2 linked regions of the Coturnix japonica genome follow. The protein of the gene in region 1 purifies or fractionates together with the protein of each later gene. This does not show direct contact. Links are inferred from orthologs where the notes say so. Each region holds a gene or a part of one and is shown in the gene's direction. Other genes may lie near its edges.

What was found. Proteins that work in one complex are often made in the same cells at the same time.
Region 2: the proteins of ZRANB1 (region 1) and MAP4K4 purify together in Homo sapiens (affinity purification with mass spectrometry; 3 studies listed by BioGRID and IntAct, with this or other methods). This does not show direct contact. The link is inferred for Coturnix japonica from reciprocal best matches to the Homo sapiens genes ZRANB1 and MAP4K4.

Annotation. Positions count from the first base shown.
Region 1 is NC_029521.1:28,651,511-28,659,855, forward strand, and holds the start of ZRANB1 (ubiquitin thioesterase ZRANB1), read left to right. Parts: upstream 1-3,251; 5' UTR 3,252-3,543; intron 3,544-5,562; exon of another isoform or gene 5,563-5,681; intron 5,682-7,770; exon of another isoform or gene 7,771-7,882; intron 7,883-8,345. UniProt on the Homo sapiens protein: Ubiquitin thioesterase, which specifically hydrolyzes 'Lys-29'-linked and 'Lys-33'-linked diubiquitin. Also cleaves 'Lys-63'-linked chains, but with 40-fold less efficiency compared to 'Lys-29'-linked ones.
Region 2 is NC_029516.1:120,471,399-120,479,031, forward strand, and holds part of MAP4K4 (mitogen-activated protein kinase kinase kinase kinase 4), read left to right. Parts: intron 1-416; coding exon 417-503; intron 504-1,157; coding exon 1,158-1,397; intron 1,398-4,787; coding exon 4,788-4,949; intron 4,950-6,942; coding exon 6,943-7,173; intron 7,174-7,633.

The DNA of each region.
Region 1 (8,345 bases):
CTTTGCAACCCAGGGCACTCTACGGTTCTATGAAGTGCAGGCTGGCAATGTGTAGACATTTTGTGGAGGTTAAGCTAGAGAAACTCATAGGCAGCTGAGACATGTAGTGGGTTTTACTGCATCAACACATTCCTGAATCACCAAATCTGTATTCCTCAGCATAGCCAGAATTATCTGGGAGACAGCAAGCATATCTTATATATGCAAGCAAAAATGTTAGCTACAAAAGGTCTATTTATAATGTTGCTTACCTACAAAATATCCACGTAGGAGCTATCAATGGGAGAGTACTGACAACAAGCTAATGAGCACCTGCTGCTCGATAAATGTCTTAGCTTTGCTTCAGCATTTCTTTGTGCAGTGAGAGACAGTGATCCCAGACAGAGCTACACTGCAATTATTCTATTCTAATCTACCCATGATTTTGGCATAGCCTCCACCAAAATGAAGATATAGCAGCTTCTGTGATGATTGATACAGGTAAACAATAGCTGTATAATGACCGAATCCTCTTCTTTTAAAGGTAGGAATGAAAGCAATCAAAACCAAAACAAACCTCGTCTTAGGTTTGCCAATGAAAAACCAAGACGCCTCAATGAGAAGTGAAGGGAATGGCTTCTGAAACAAAAGGAGTTCTTCAGAACCCTTCAGAAGTCTATCAGCGGATTACGTCAACTGGAAGATGGATTTTGCTCCCTCTGTCTCATCGAATAATCTGATTAGCTGGCAGTGATTACGCCTGGCATGACATACTGCATTCTGTGAGCTGTGTCTGTTCTCTGTTGCCTTTTACGTTCCTGCGTAGCCTTCTTTTACAATAAATCCCCCTCTCACTTTCACCAAATGCTGAGTGCTGCTGACATGGTGTCTGACTGGGGGAGTGCTAATGCCACCCGATAACACTGAGTTGCTATGTAGGAGGAGCGGTATGCTCCCTTAAAGGAGGAAAATGCACGAGTCTGAACTTCCCAGCCAAGTTTCTGGCTGTGGAGTTTAGCATCTATGATTTATAGGCAATATCTGGGGAGAGGTGCTGCCTCTCAGTGTTGTTTGTGCTCAGAGTGGGGAGCTACCTGAGCTCGGCACCTAAGCCAGAGGTTGTATGAATGCAGTATTTTTACCCACACTCACTTAGCAGAGTTGGAGGAGTTCGTATTACTCTTTCTGTCAACACTTCGGAGTTGCAGGTGCTTGGTAGTGGTTAAATGTGTTATTGTTGGGGATAAGCGACGTGTTGGCCATTGCACAAAGCAATCCAGACCCTTTCAGCCTGAGCTCCTCAGCAGCAATTAGCTTATGGATTTCAATACATTTTTTCTCTTTTTGTCTAAGTCCTCACAAATGTCTTTGCATTTCCATCTTTTATTTTTCTTTCCCTTTTGTTTTTAACATTCAGCTCCTCATTTTCCCTTATTTTCTCCTTCTTTTTCTCCTCTTCTCTATACCCCCCCTTCCCACCCCCCTGCTGCCTCCTTGTGCTATGACAGACCTGCTGATGCATGCTCAAAGCCACTGCAGCAGCCATGCTGTGCCTGCCATCTGGGACAGGCAGATCCTGCATCCTCCCAGAGCCTGAATGAGAACACTGGATTATATCCATCACCATCGCCTCCTGCTTTTCCATCTTCCTTTGTGTGCTTTGCTTTTCTCTTGTCTCTTTTACCTACCAAATATCTGCCCAACCAAGGGAAGTTTCTAAGATTCCCACATCAGGTGGCTCAAACTCTTCAGCTGGAAAGCCCTAACGTGATGGATTGACTCCACCACCCCCTTCTTCTGCTCCCTGCAGAACCACAAGGAAATGAAGACAAATACAGTGCATGCTTTCAAGTGCTCTCAGCTTTTAAGCTCCTTCCTTGCTGCTAGTGAAACAGAGGGACTGAGGAGCTAACAACTCAGCACTCGCTCCTTTCCTATTTCTGCACAGTTGCTCCTAGCTATATGATAGGTATATGATGGCTATATGATGATAGCTATATGGTAGCTATATGATGGCTATATGAGAACTGTATGGTAGCTATATGAGAGCTATATGATGGCTATATGATGGCTATATGTTAGCTATGTGTTAGCTATATGAGAGCTATATGAGAGCTATATGATAGCTATATGATGGCTATATGAGAGCTATAGGAGAGCTACATGATGGCTATATGATAGTTATGATGGCTGTATGATAGCTATATGATACCTATATGATAGCTACATGATACCTATATGATGGCTGTATGATAACTATATGAGAGCTATATGATGGCTATATGATAGCTATATAATGGCTATATGAGATCTATATGATAGCTATATGATGTATGATAGCTATATGATGGCTATATGAGAGCTATGTGATGGCTATATAAGAACTATATGATAGCTATATGAGAGCTATATGATGGCTATATGATAACTATATGATGGCTATATGAGAGCTGTATGTTAGCTATATGATAGCTATATGAGAACTATATGAGAGCTATATGGTAGCTATATGATAGCTATATGAAAACTATATGAGAGCTATATGGTAGCTATATGATGGCTATTTGATAACTATATGATGGCTATATGGTAGCTATATGAGAGTTATATGATAGCTATATCATAGCTATATGATAGCAATATGATGGCTATATGATGGCTGTATGATAGCTATACAATACCTATATGATGGCTATATGATGGCTATATGAGAGCTATATGGTAGCTATATGATAGCTATATGATAGTTATGATGGCTGTATGATACCTATATGATAGCTATATGATAGCTATATGATAGCTATATGAGAGCTATATGAGAGTTATATGAGTTATATGAGAGCTATATAAGAGCTATATGATGGCTATATGAGAGCTATATGTTAGCTATATGATGTCTATATGGTGCTATATAAGAGCTATATCAGTGACAGAGCTGCACTTGGATATTTATACATTTCACCCCAAAATGGGAACAAGAGCATGAAATTAGCAGCTGCGAGGGCTGGTGCTGACTCAGACGGGTGATGTAAGGATGGAAAATTCAAATATCCTCCACAAACTGTGCTTAATTCGGCTTTTTGTGCCAAAAAAAGCACAGAATAACGGGATACAGGAGCACCAAGGTGAGCACCGAGGGGGCGTGGCCAAAGATAGCCCCGCCCCCTCACCCTTAGCCCCGCCCACTTGTGTTAGGGATGACGTCATCCGTTCTCTCCAAAGAGGCGCGCGGCGATTGGCGGAGCGGGAGTCGTTCTGTCGTCCAATGGGCGCGGGGCATGCCGGCATGCCGTGCTGACGTGCGGTCCGCTGGCCGTATGGGGGTTTATTTTGCTTTGGGCCGCTCCAGCCGCCGCCATTAGAGGAGGCCGGGAGCGGGGCCAAGGGATTTACCCCCCCCTCCCCTCCCCCCCCCCGCGGCCGTGCCGAGTGGGAGCGCCCGCGGCCGCGGCAACCCGCCGCCTTGGGACGTACCATGTCGTGAGCGGGGGGAGCGCAACTCAGCCAGCGGGTCGGGGGGGGCGGCGCGGAGTGAAGGACGGACGGCTCCCGTGGGGCGGACAGGTAAACCCAGCTCCGGTAATGGGGGGAGGGGGCTGACCACGGGATGGGGCTCGGCTACTATTGAGGGAGGGGGGAGGAGCGGGCCCGGGGGTCGTGGGGCTGGTGTACAAAGGCAGCACGGCCGGGCTGTTATGGTGAGCTCCTATCTGTTGTGCTGCGGTACTGGGGGCTGCTGGAGTTGCCTCTTAGTTATTTTCTTCATATTTTGTGGTTTAATTAATTAATTAATGTATTTATTTATGGGGGTTGGGGGGGCTGCCTGGCTCCGTGTGCTGTGTTGGAGGTCTCATATCATACCGCCTATTGCTGGCACTCGGCTGGGCGTACATCACAAACAGAGCTCGTTCCTTTGAGCTGAGCCAGTGCTTCGCTTCTTCTTATTATTATAAGTACAGTCAGTAGCTCTAAACCTCGACCATTTAGGGCTGTGCCTTCACACTCCCACTCTACAGCAGCTCCCACCAGGCTCAGGTACACCCCCACTGCGATATGGAGCCCCCCCCGGGTCGCCCATAGTAGGTGGTTGAAGCCTGGGCTCCTCCATGGTGGGTGCTGAGAACTTTGTGTCACAGCGGCGACATTCAGGGCTAACAATGCTGGAAAGTTGTTCTGGAATCCTTGGGGGTTCCTGTTGTGTCCTGTGGGAGAGGTTTGTGAAGGCTGGTCGTGCTTTAAGTGGTCGCCCATAGAGGGGGGATGCAGGTGATGATGGAAGTGTTCTTATAGTCTTTTATTTGCCTCTATCCCAAGGCCGGCTGGTGTGGTGTCTCAGTGTGACTTCATATGTGAGCATCACTTCTGATTTATATCCATCACAGCATTAAAACGCAATGATTTTGGATGCACTGCCTTGTATAGGATAGGGGTTAGGGTTGTATAGGATAGGATTACGTGGTGTAAATCTCACTGGGGGAGCAGGTGTACTATTAGGATTTTCTCAGAAGCATAATGGAAAGTATGAATTCCATTGCAGTACTGGGTAGCATAAAAGCATCAGTGGGATTCATCGTGGAAGCATGACTTAAATTGGAGACCAGTTGAACTTGGTCAAGGCAGCATTTTAAGTCTTGTTTAGATGTGCGTGGCCATATTAATTACATGTCAGTGTGTAGATTGTTTAGAGGCAGTTAAATCCGTGTTTCCATCTGTCTTTGCAAGATAGGTCCATAAATAAACTCAGTAACGTAAGCAGAAAATAGTTATTGTATAGGAAGCTTATTTTTTCACTTTAATTGCTCAATGTATGTTCAGAAACATCAGTGTAACGACTCGTTCATGTGGCATTAACCTCGGCATTAAGCTTTCTCTTTGCAGCCTCTCTTTGCTCTATCGGGCTTGCACAGAGTTGAGATTAAGTAGAATTTCAGATTAATGCAGCCTTCAGCATGACGTGCAGCTACAAATGACAGCAAAGCTGTTCAACCGCTGCTGGCAGTTCTGTTAGCAATCTCCTGCCCCTTCATCACAGCTGCCCAAACTTGAAGACTGGGTTATTTTGAGCTGTTCAAAATTGATGTCAACAAGTAATCCTCGTTTTGACTGTATGAATTAGAATCCAAGTCTCCTGGTACTAAGATGGAACAACTGCTAAGGTTGGAAAAGACCTAAAAGATCATCCAGTCCAACCATTCACCTATTTAATAGCTCCCACTAACCCATGTCCCTCAACACAACATCCAGCCTTTCCTTGAACACCCCCAGCGTCAATTAAAGACCACAATTCTAATTCTAACACGTCAGTCGAATGCAATTTGTTCCACCTCCAAAAGGAGCTTTCATCTCCTAATGGAGATTTCAAACACTTGTAATTCAGGCTCTTTGCTTTTTCGTGGCGCTTCTTACACAGCTGACAGCGCTGCAGACTGCAGAGGGTTTGATTGATTTTTGTGCCTGTAACACTTGTCAACTTCGGGAGGCTTTAATTCATTTGCATCAGTTGCTCTCACGGATGGATTTGATTCTCTTGGAACCTCTTTGGAACAGGAGGTTGCAAACAGGACTCGTCCCTTTGGTGTCTAACAGCCCAATGCTTCAGAAGAAAAACTGCATTGCTACTATTCTGAAACCACGTGGATGCACGCAATGAAATCCAGAGAAGGACCAGACTTCAGGATGGGCTCAAGAATGCGGAAACAGTTGTAGGTTGCATTTATTTAATCAAGAAATGTGAGAGGTTGATACAGTGTGTGTTAATACAGAATGGAGTTCCTGGTATGTAGCATCTTGTCTGCAAACCAGACGAGATTGCAGCTCTTTGCATCTCCTGCTATGCAGCAGGTATAATTAAGTTGGCATTTTTCCCTTTGGGTATTTGAATTTTTCCTGATATCATCTGGCCTGCTGGTTCTTAAGACAAGGATACTTTGAGGCTGAGTTGCAGACGCTGGAAGTAATGAGGGCTAGGGACAAAACAAATGGCAGGTGTGATGCCTGCTGGCTGGGGGTGGGGGGGCTGCAAGGATGAACTTGTGTCTATTTTTGAAGTGTAAATAGGACTTTCTGAAGCTGTCAGTGAGCAAAGAGCCTGCAGTTCCCCATCAGCATAGAAGCCAGCGTGCAGTGACATTTGGGTCGTGCTTACCATTGCTTTGTTACCAGATACTGAAATTTCAAGTTCTGATGCTTTGGTTTGGCATCATTTGGTTTGAGTTTTGAGTAGCCTTTATAGGAACAATAATATTTGCCCAGGGAGGCTGTGGATGCCCCATCCCTGCAGGATTCAAGGCCAGGCTGGATGTGGCTCTGGGCAGCCTGGGCTGCTGGTTGGTGACCTGCACACAGCAGGGGGTTGGAACTGGATGATCATCATGGTCCTTTGCAACCCAGGCCATTCTGTGATTCTGTGGTTAGCTTGAGTTGCTGGTAACCTGTGTATATACACACACAGCCCTTTGCGCTGTGTTGAGCAGTGCTGTGTGCCATCACTTTGGCTTTTTTTCCGCCGTGACACTTTGCTGTCTAGCCAGTATCTCAGGAAGAGCTGGATGAAGCCACCATAGCTTGTATGGCTTCTTTGTGCTTGAAGTCGTACCCAGTTGCACGCACGTCTACCAAAGGCATCCTTAACTCCATCCCAAAGTGGCTCCCCATTAATGAGAGGGAAGCTGCTCAATAGCTGATGTGCAGAGCGTGTTTCCTTGTTTCATTTGCAGGCAGATGGTTTTTCTCCACCAAACGGTGAATGTCTGCATCTAACCACGATCTAATTTATGGTCAACCACTATTAGGGAGGTCCAGGGGATAATTACTAGAACTGAATGTCAAACGTACAAATTTTAATGTAATATTCCTCGGTTGCTGGACAGGTTTAAGTGTTTTTAAGTTCTGACGTCTGACTCAGCGGTATGTTTTTATTCAGAGCGTGACATCTGGTTTTCCTCATCTTCTGCAAGGGTGGCTGAGATCTAAACAGAAACAAGCCTCGTGTTTTAGGCATCGAGTCCAAACACAGATAAACTGCGTGTTTGTGTTCGGCCTTTTTAGAAAGAAACCTTCAACTTTGGTCATCGAGAAATTAACTGAATTTCTATCACATATATTACTGTGTTTATCTGGAGTTGGTATTTGCCTTCAACTGATGATCATAGCGTTCAGATTAATTAAATTTGCTGGCTGTATTCATGTGAGTTTTTCTTTGGAGCTCATTATTTTGGGCTTGTTTGCTTGGTTTTGATTAGTGTTGTGTGGGAGATGTCATCTATTATGTAACTGTTGATCTGCTTACTCTCGTTTTACCAAATGGTATTGGTTTCTAAGTAAGTGGTTGTATTTAGTCCCTCCTAATGTGTCGTAACATCTCATTTCAGCGGTTGTTAACTTCTAATGGTGATTAAAAAGAGAAAAACAAACCCACAAAAAAAGAGACTGCCAACAAAATGGAAGTGTAACTCTCCCGTAATAAGAAAGCACTGAATTGTGACCCGCTGCTATTGTCCTTTATAGCTTTGTTTTCAGCAGTTAATGCTGCTTTTAGTATTTAGTCAGAGATTTAATAAGGGGGAGACGTACTTTGGTTTGAGATCAGTACAAATCAGATGGAAGCTCTGCGCTTTCTACAGCGGGATTAACTGCAGTGGCTGAGGACACAGGGGATGGACATGAAAAACAAACATCAGGAAAAGGGGAATGTTGAATCTGTTAATACATCTGCTCTGGGTGGAGGCTTCCAGCTCGGTCTATAGGTAGGTCTGTGTGCTAACCAAGTCCTCTTGTATTCTTGTATTTCAGATGTCTCCTGAGATCTGTCATCTCCTGGATGTTTGACTTCATACCGCACAGAACGTTCGCAGAATTAGGTGTCATGTAACAGGAAATTATTTGGCTGACGTGAAGCTTTAAGGTGTGTTTGAGATGGTCACGCTTGTATTGGATGTGAGAATAGAATATTGAGAACTGAATTCTGAGCACAGTGAATATCTATCTAACCAATTAGTCTTAATGATGTTTAGAAACAATACATGAATCCATCCATCCACATGGATGCGGCTTTTGATAGACTGTAAGTGAAGCTTGTTATCAGAGCAGACTTTGTGTTTTCAAGATGTCCTCCTTAATCACGGTTCTTAATTGGCTGAGATCTGCCTTTCTTGTGATGTTTCCTTGTGTAAGATCAGGACCTTCTGGATTTTAACTGTGTGCCTCTGTAGGAGTAGATGAGAAACGGTCTGCAGGTCACACTGAAGGCTTCCAGTCTAGGATATTAGCTGCACACTTGGACTATCAGAACAGAAGAGTTTTCATGTACTAGATTACAAGCAGTTCTTCAGTTGTAAATGGAAGACTTCTTCTAGTGTATTTTGCAC
Region 2 (7,633 bases), on another chromosome or scaffold:
ACTAAGCCTGGCTCTAGCTGTTGCTAACAGTTCATCGCACCGGTGCAACAAACTAATGTTTAATCCAACTTGCATGTGACTTTGTGTTGGCTGTGTTGAGTCAGACTTGCTGTGTTTTAACTTTACCAAAACCTTCAAGTGCATTGTGCTGCTTCTTGAAATCACTTCCAAAATATGTAAATGAGCTCTGGCTCATGCTGGCAACATTTGCAGGAGTCCAAATTTCGGAATGGAAGGGGCCAAAATACGATGCTCAGGAGACAGGGCTTCCTAAATTGTTCTGCAGGCACTAATCCACCCTGAAGTGCGTTTCTCGTTAAAGCTGAACTGGGGAAGTAGCGTGCGGTGTGCCACCCAGGGGGTTCTGATGCATTCCTTTTGAATAAATTCATTGCTGGGTAATTTCTATGTGACAGGAGTATATCAGGCGACAGCTAGAAGAGGAGCAGCGGCACTTGGAAATTCTACAGCAGCAGCTGCTCCAGGAGCAGGCCATGTTACTGGTAAAGCACTGTATCTGTTTTGTTCAGTAGCTATAGGATCCATTTATCTGGCCAGTCCTGGGCTTCCCTCAGTCGGGCACAGCTGCACTGACAGTATGACAACAAAGGAGCTTGATTAAAAGGCCATTTATGCTAGCGTCGTGGGCTGACAGGCACATATGAGAAGTGCTGTGTGGTCACACTGCTTTCTGGGCTGTAAGAGGAGGCTTTATGTTAAAGTGGAACAGTTCTGGTTTGGCGGTCGAGTTTCTGAACAGACCTTGAAGAACTAGAGTGCTTGTGTTGCAGATCAAAAGCACACATGATATGTAAATCCACCCCAGGATACAATGGCCTAGTGTTGTTCTAAATCATTGTTTTATGAACTTACACTGAATCTAGTATAAGTAACTTTGTTCTTTTTTCTTTTAACAAAAATCAGTTTTGACATAATTCTCCAATCATGTGAAGCGTAGCAGTATATTCTCAGCTTTCCCAACATGAGACGCATGTCATATTGATCCAGCTTAGCTTTTGGTTACACTTTAACAATGAAATAAATAAAAAAAATAAAGCAACAGCAACCAGAAATGTCCAGTTTTAATGGGATGGATAGGAACATGTCTACCATATATTCCATGCCATGTCTTGAATTACTCACACATTCTCTCAAAGGAATACAGATGGCGGGAGATGGAGGAGCATCGACAGGCAGAGCGGCTCCAACGCCAGTTGCAGCAGGAGCAAGCCTACCTCCTGTCACTGCAGCATGATCACAGGCGGCAGCAGCAGCAGCAGCAGCAGCAGCAGCAACAACAGCAGCAGCAACAGCAGCAGCAGCAGGAAAGAAATAAACAAAGCTATCATGCCCCTGAGCCAAAATCCCACTATGAACCTGCTGAAAGAGCGCGTGAGGTAAGTCCTGCTCATGGAGAGGAATATGCTACTTGCTCCCCCATCCCTGCACCTGTTGGCATCGTGGTAGCTGTGGCTCTACTGCACTATGTACGGAGACCAAGGTGTCGTGATTGAGGGAAAGGATGTTTTCAAGTGTTGGTTTCTGGTTTCCCAACCCAAGGAATGCTTCTGGTTACTTCTGCTGTCATTGTAAGTGACTGTTTTTAGATGTAAAAGGTTGAAGGAATTTCTGAAGTGCTGCAGACTGAGGGGGACCTGATACTGGAAGAATCCAGTCAGGGAGGTAATCTCATCTGGACTTTATCAGGTGTCTTCACAGGAAGTACTAATGCAGTTGTCAGGCTGTGTTGCTGGCAGGTACTGAAAAGGGGAAATTTGGAGGGAATTGGAAAATGGAGACCCATAAGGGATGAATGCACACAACACCTGTAGATGCTTTAGCCCACGGTCTTAAAAATTTGCTTCAGATAAGTACAAGCCTGAAGTGAGTTAGTTTCATTTCTGATGAGTTTTACCTGCTGAGATCACAGCTTGCTTTTATGAAACTCTGTGGTGCTTCCATCTTTAACTTCAGGCACTCACAAATCCATCTGAAATCATCAGAGTACTGTTTGTCTCAGTGAATAGTCCCCTGCCTTCACTGGTCCGTGGTCAACGTCACTAAGCAAGTAACTATCTCTTTGATGCATACTTGGCTTTTTCAGCAGTCCTTTTCTTATGTTTCCCTTGGACATCATGCTGCCTGTAAGCTGCTAGATTGGGCAGCGCTGATCAAAACTCTTAATGGCATTCATCACCAGTGTGTGGGTATTAGGTAAATACATTTTGGAACAAGAACCAAAAAAAAATTAAATAGTTGTGGTTGTTGAACATTACAAAATAGCTTTCAGTCCACCTGTGTCCACTAGTGTTTCACTGCCTTTGAAGTATTGCTGTTGGGACTTGATGAGCAAAACCTCATTTTCTTAGAGATACTATTGTCCAAGTTCTTCATAAACCACAGTCTGCTATCTCATCTGCTCTTGGCTGAAGTATTTGGTATGTGCATTTCTCCTGGAAGAGGTTCAGACTCGTCCAGCATGTTGTGGTGCAGGTGTGGAACCCGCCCTCTTTTCCTCGTGCTCATTTCTGGTCTGCCTTGGTGAAAGCGTAGTGCCGGTCCAGCACTCCTATCCCACCAGAGGGAGGGTTTTGGAGGGGCAGAGAACCATCTCCATTCTTCCTCTGCCTTTTTCCTTTCAGAGTTGAAAAGAAGAAGAACTAAAGATTCCAAGTCCTTTAACAGAACTGCTGACTCAGCTCTTTTAATGTCATCTTTTCCTATTATGATCGTGCTAGGTAGAAAGAATAAAGTGAAGGCAAAGGAAAAAATGTGTTAGTAGTCAGATTTTCTTGGAGTCTGCTATGTAATATTCTCTTTTAAAACGTACAGTAGGAGTATAGCCATAATACCTCGTTGTCTGGCAGTGGGAGCGACACCAGTTAGTCTTAAAAGCAAGCATCAGCTGATGTAATTTTTGACATGAATTACTGACTTGGAGCAAGTATTCTGTGCCTCATACTTCCACAAAGATTTCAGTTCAGAGGAAGTCTTCATCCACTGAGATGTTGACCATCAAGATGATAATCCAGCGTTAGCTAACTTTCCAGTTCTGGCTAAGTCTAATGATGACCAGGGCTTTATTTTTCCTTATTCCAGCTCCAATGAGTATATAAGGAAGATGATTTCTAAAATTGGCTCTAGGAAACAGAAGGAAGCTTAGAGCAAGAAATGAAAGTTAATACTGTTTTCTGGTCCAGACAGTCAGATGACTGCAACAGGGATTATTTCTATCCAGGGATGAACTGTCTCTTTCCCATGTCTTGCCAGTCTTTGAGAACACGTGGCTTGTGCAGTTTATGTTCTTTGTGGAGGAAACCTCCTGTCATTTACAGCTAGGGACATGAAAGCCTGTTCCTTCAGACAGAAAGGCTTGGGGCTTTTCCTTATTCTGTTCCTAAGAAGGAGACTGATAAGAGGAGTTTGGCCTGTGAGACTGACATGATATTGAAAATGACTGTATGGTGAAGATACTTGACTTCATTATTGCTTTATTTCTCTAGACATGGTGTATTTTGTATGGACTTGGCAGAAGCTTGTCTGGTTGCTCCCATTGGCAAACTGTTATTGTCCTCTAATTTTGGAAAGCAGAGGCAGGTTGGGCTTGTAAAGCAGCCTTGTTAAGGAGTCCTGGAGACTCACATCTGTCTTCTGACCTTGATATAGAAATATTTTCATCATGCCAACATTGCTTAGGAGCAATTAGGAAACTACCCAAATAATGGTTTCATGCTCTGGGTACAAGAGTTAAAGCAGACCATATGAGCAGCATCTCAGCAAATAAAATCAGCCCCAGCTTCCAGTTTCATCTTTAACACTTGGTAAAGTGCTGGGAGTTTAGTGTTCCTCAGTGGCCACTCTTCTGACTACAAGGCACAGCACACACTGCTGTGATTCCAGCAGTGGCTCATTGTGGGAAATGGGAGGATATTTCCTTTCTGCCTATAGCTTCCTTCCATCTCTTTCCCTCCATACTGCTCTCTTTGTTCTCGATGCCACAGGCTTTAAAGAGGTGACATTTCTGCATGGGGAGCTTGCTTGATATTCTTTTGAGGGCTCTGCACTTTCTGATAAAGTCTTCCCTTCGCAGAACTCTCTGGGTTAGCATACAGTCACTTCTACGTGTCTCTGAGAAGCAGAAGTAAGTTGCAGGGGCTGTTCTCTGCAGTCTGAGGTCAGAGTGCAGCTTTTTGATGTTGTTTCAGGACCATCTGATAAGAGAGAGTTTGAGTAGTCCTACAGCTTCATACCTAAAGCCGAACTGCCTCAAGTATTACCAGATAGAGAAGCATATGCATCTATCTCTTCTCACATTGCCAAAGGGACACACAGAGGAAAGCATATAACTGAATAACATACTTCCCTTTAGGTTAGTGGGGCTTCTACTTGTAGCAAGGAATAACAATGGGAAAAGTATTTTGAAATTGTAAAGTTGTTTCTACTTTCACATATCCCTTTTGTTGTCTATGTCTGCTGATGGGTGCTAACTAGTCTAGACAGCAGGAAGCTCCCTGATAGGTCTTTCCTATTACTTCACAGCATACTGGCCACTGTAAGCTCTTTCCTGGTATGTATTTCCCATGTTGGCATGCTTGACATTTTGATGCAGTTCACTGTGCTTAAATTGCTGGTGAAACCTGCAGGGATGAAAACCCTGCCAGGCCTCAAATATATTTCATTTCTATATGGCAAAAGAAGAGAGTAGTCACCTTCTTACTTCTACTGCTGTTGGTTTTACTGACTCCAGATATAACCTGTTTTGTTTTTTTTTGGTATTTTTTTCTTAGGTGGAGGAGAGATTTAGAAAAACTAATCAGGGCTCCCCTGAAGCACAGTCTAAGCAGATGGGCAAAGTGTTGGAGCCACCAGTGCCTTCAAGATCAGAGTCCTTTTCCAATGGAAACTCAGAACCTGCTCAGCCTGCCCTGCAGAGGCCAATGGAGCCCCAAGTAAGTGCCCAGGGAAATATTGGTGAGCCTGGAGGAAGTGCAAGAAGTCCTAACATGTTTCCTTCATTTTTTCAGATCTTGGCACAGAGAAAGTCTTACTTAAAGAGTAACATTCTCACTCAAAATAGCTTATTTACTAGATTAACTTTGTATGGTTTTGCTTACTGATTTGATAAACGGGTAGATTTCTGCTTTGTTTTTAAAGAAAACTGTTGTTCTGTTATTATCTGTGCAAGAGTGGAATAGTCAGCTAAATATTGGTCATAGGTGCAGTACACTTCTATAATTCAGAATTTGATCTGTGCATAGTATTTGTTATCAAAAAGAATGTTGAGGAAAGAAGTGAGCTGATTTAGTCTTCTAAGCTCTTTGGGGAACAAAAAAACCAAACAAACATGTTTTTTAGCAGAATAAGCATTGCTTTAAAGAAATCCACAAGACACGACTAAGAAAAGCAAGTTTGTTGTCAGTGGGCTTATACTTGCTAAATAAAGCTCTGTTACCACCCCTGGAAAATCAAAAAGAGGTTGGAACCACTGAGCAATGTGACTGCTGTCATCCTGTTGTTTGCTAATGAAAACCTCCAGAACTTGGTAACTATATCTCATAGGACTTACAGTATGAATTTAAAAAATAATCTGAAGTCTAAAACTTATAAATAACCCAAGCAGTTGAGATATGCTATGTTAAAAGTGTGCTTCTATATTAAGTTTGTCTGTTTCCATGCAGAATTTCTTTCTCCCAAATAAGTCAGTTGATGACAGCGCAAGCTAAACCTGTTCCTGATTGTGACTAGGCATTGCAACTCGTTTGGGTGACAGGAGAATTTGAGCAGACGAGAGAGTGGGAGAAATCAGGACAGAACTTCATTCTGACTCATTAATTCCTGGCTTTTATTCAAACCTCCATGATTATTTCAAAGTACTGCACTTGTATTTTTGTGTTCTCTGTGCCAGTTACTTTTAAAGTCTGGCCTTCCACTCACATTAAGAATAATCAGACTCTTCAACAGCTGTGTGTATAAAAATTGAGGAAATAATAACCATATAAAAATACGTACAGCCAACCTACTGATAATGACATTGAAAGTGAAGTTTCGATTAATTACTAGGTGCAGATGCAGTGTGTTCTTCAGTTTTGATCTTTTCTCCTCCTTGGCTTCAGAAATTAACTTTGAAATGTGCGCTTATGCACAAGGAGGGAGTAGGCTGGAGTGGAGGATCAGTATGGATTTCAAGGAAAATCCCCAAGGGTTTTTACCTCTGGAGTCACTGCTGTGCCTTCTCAATATCTGTAATTGAATATGTGCATGTGTACGTGTGTGTTTAGTTTGTTTATGAATATGTGTATATGTACAGTATATGGTACATATATGGCATATGTATAATATGCATTGCCCATATGTATACTGTATACAACAATACAATATATATTATGTTTCTGTATATATATTGCAACGACTCTAAAGGAATAAAGGCTTTTATGTTATGGTCATTCTCCAAAAGTTTGGAACTGTATCTAGTTTCCAAATTTTTTTAGATAACATAAATGTCTGTTGGTTTGCACACTTTATGGCCTTCTTTAATTTTGCACATTTCTTCAATTGGATAACCACTTCAATTTTCCCAACCCATTGGTGCCGCCATGAGATCTGGCCAAAGCCCACTGAGGACTGGGGAGCAGAAGTTGGCTCCTGTCTTGTGTGGCCTTTGACCCCATGCTCATGGTGCAGATATTAGGTCCCCTTTTCTTTTGGGCACTAGTGTATGTGTATGTGGAGAGCGTAGCTCGCAAAAATGCATATGTGCTGTATTTTCAGTCTGTTGCGTTCTCTGGGCGCTTGCCTTGCTTTTAAGTGCATTGATTCCACCCCACGCTTACCTAATGCCATAACAATTTGTCTCTGCCCACCCCACCTGCCTTTATTCTGTGTTAATTGGACAGCCGGTTATTCTGAGCGCATTGAATGTTTTATGTTTTGTTTTCTTGTAAGGTACAGTGGTCCCATCTGGCATCTCTCAAGAACAATGTTTCCCCTGTCTCGCGATCCCATTCCTTCAGTGACCCTTCTCCCAAATTTGCTCATCACCATCTTCGTTCCCAGGACCCATATCCACCTTCACGCAGTGAAGTGCTAAATCAGAGTTCTGACTCTAAGTCGGAGGTACCCGACCCCACCCAAAAGGCTTGGGCTAGATCAGACAGTGACGAGGTGCCTCCAAGGGTAAGGAGTAGAAAGACAGATGTATGCTATTTCTTGATGATAATTATTTTTTTTTAAAGGATGTCATAGGCTGGGCACTGGAAAGACCACGCCCTCATAACCACGGTAACAGCATTTTAGAAAGCAGATGATCATGTAGGTGTTCATTCACTGGGCTAACAATAATGAACCTGAAGTACAATCTTGAAGCTGCGTATAAAGTCGATAATTATTCATAGAATGCAGCTATTTCAGAGAGACAGTTTATTATGCAAAGTTAACCAATCATTGCCATCTTCCAGAAAGGATTTAAAATGTCCCTGAGGTTATTGCTCAGAGCTAATTTTCTTCTTCATCTGGTAGCAACCCAAACTATGAATCACAGGCATATTTAAAATTGAGATGGAACTGAACAAAAAGGAAACATTCAATATTTCCTCCTCCTCTCCCCAAAAGCCCCCTCCGTCCACTGGGATTTGCT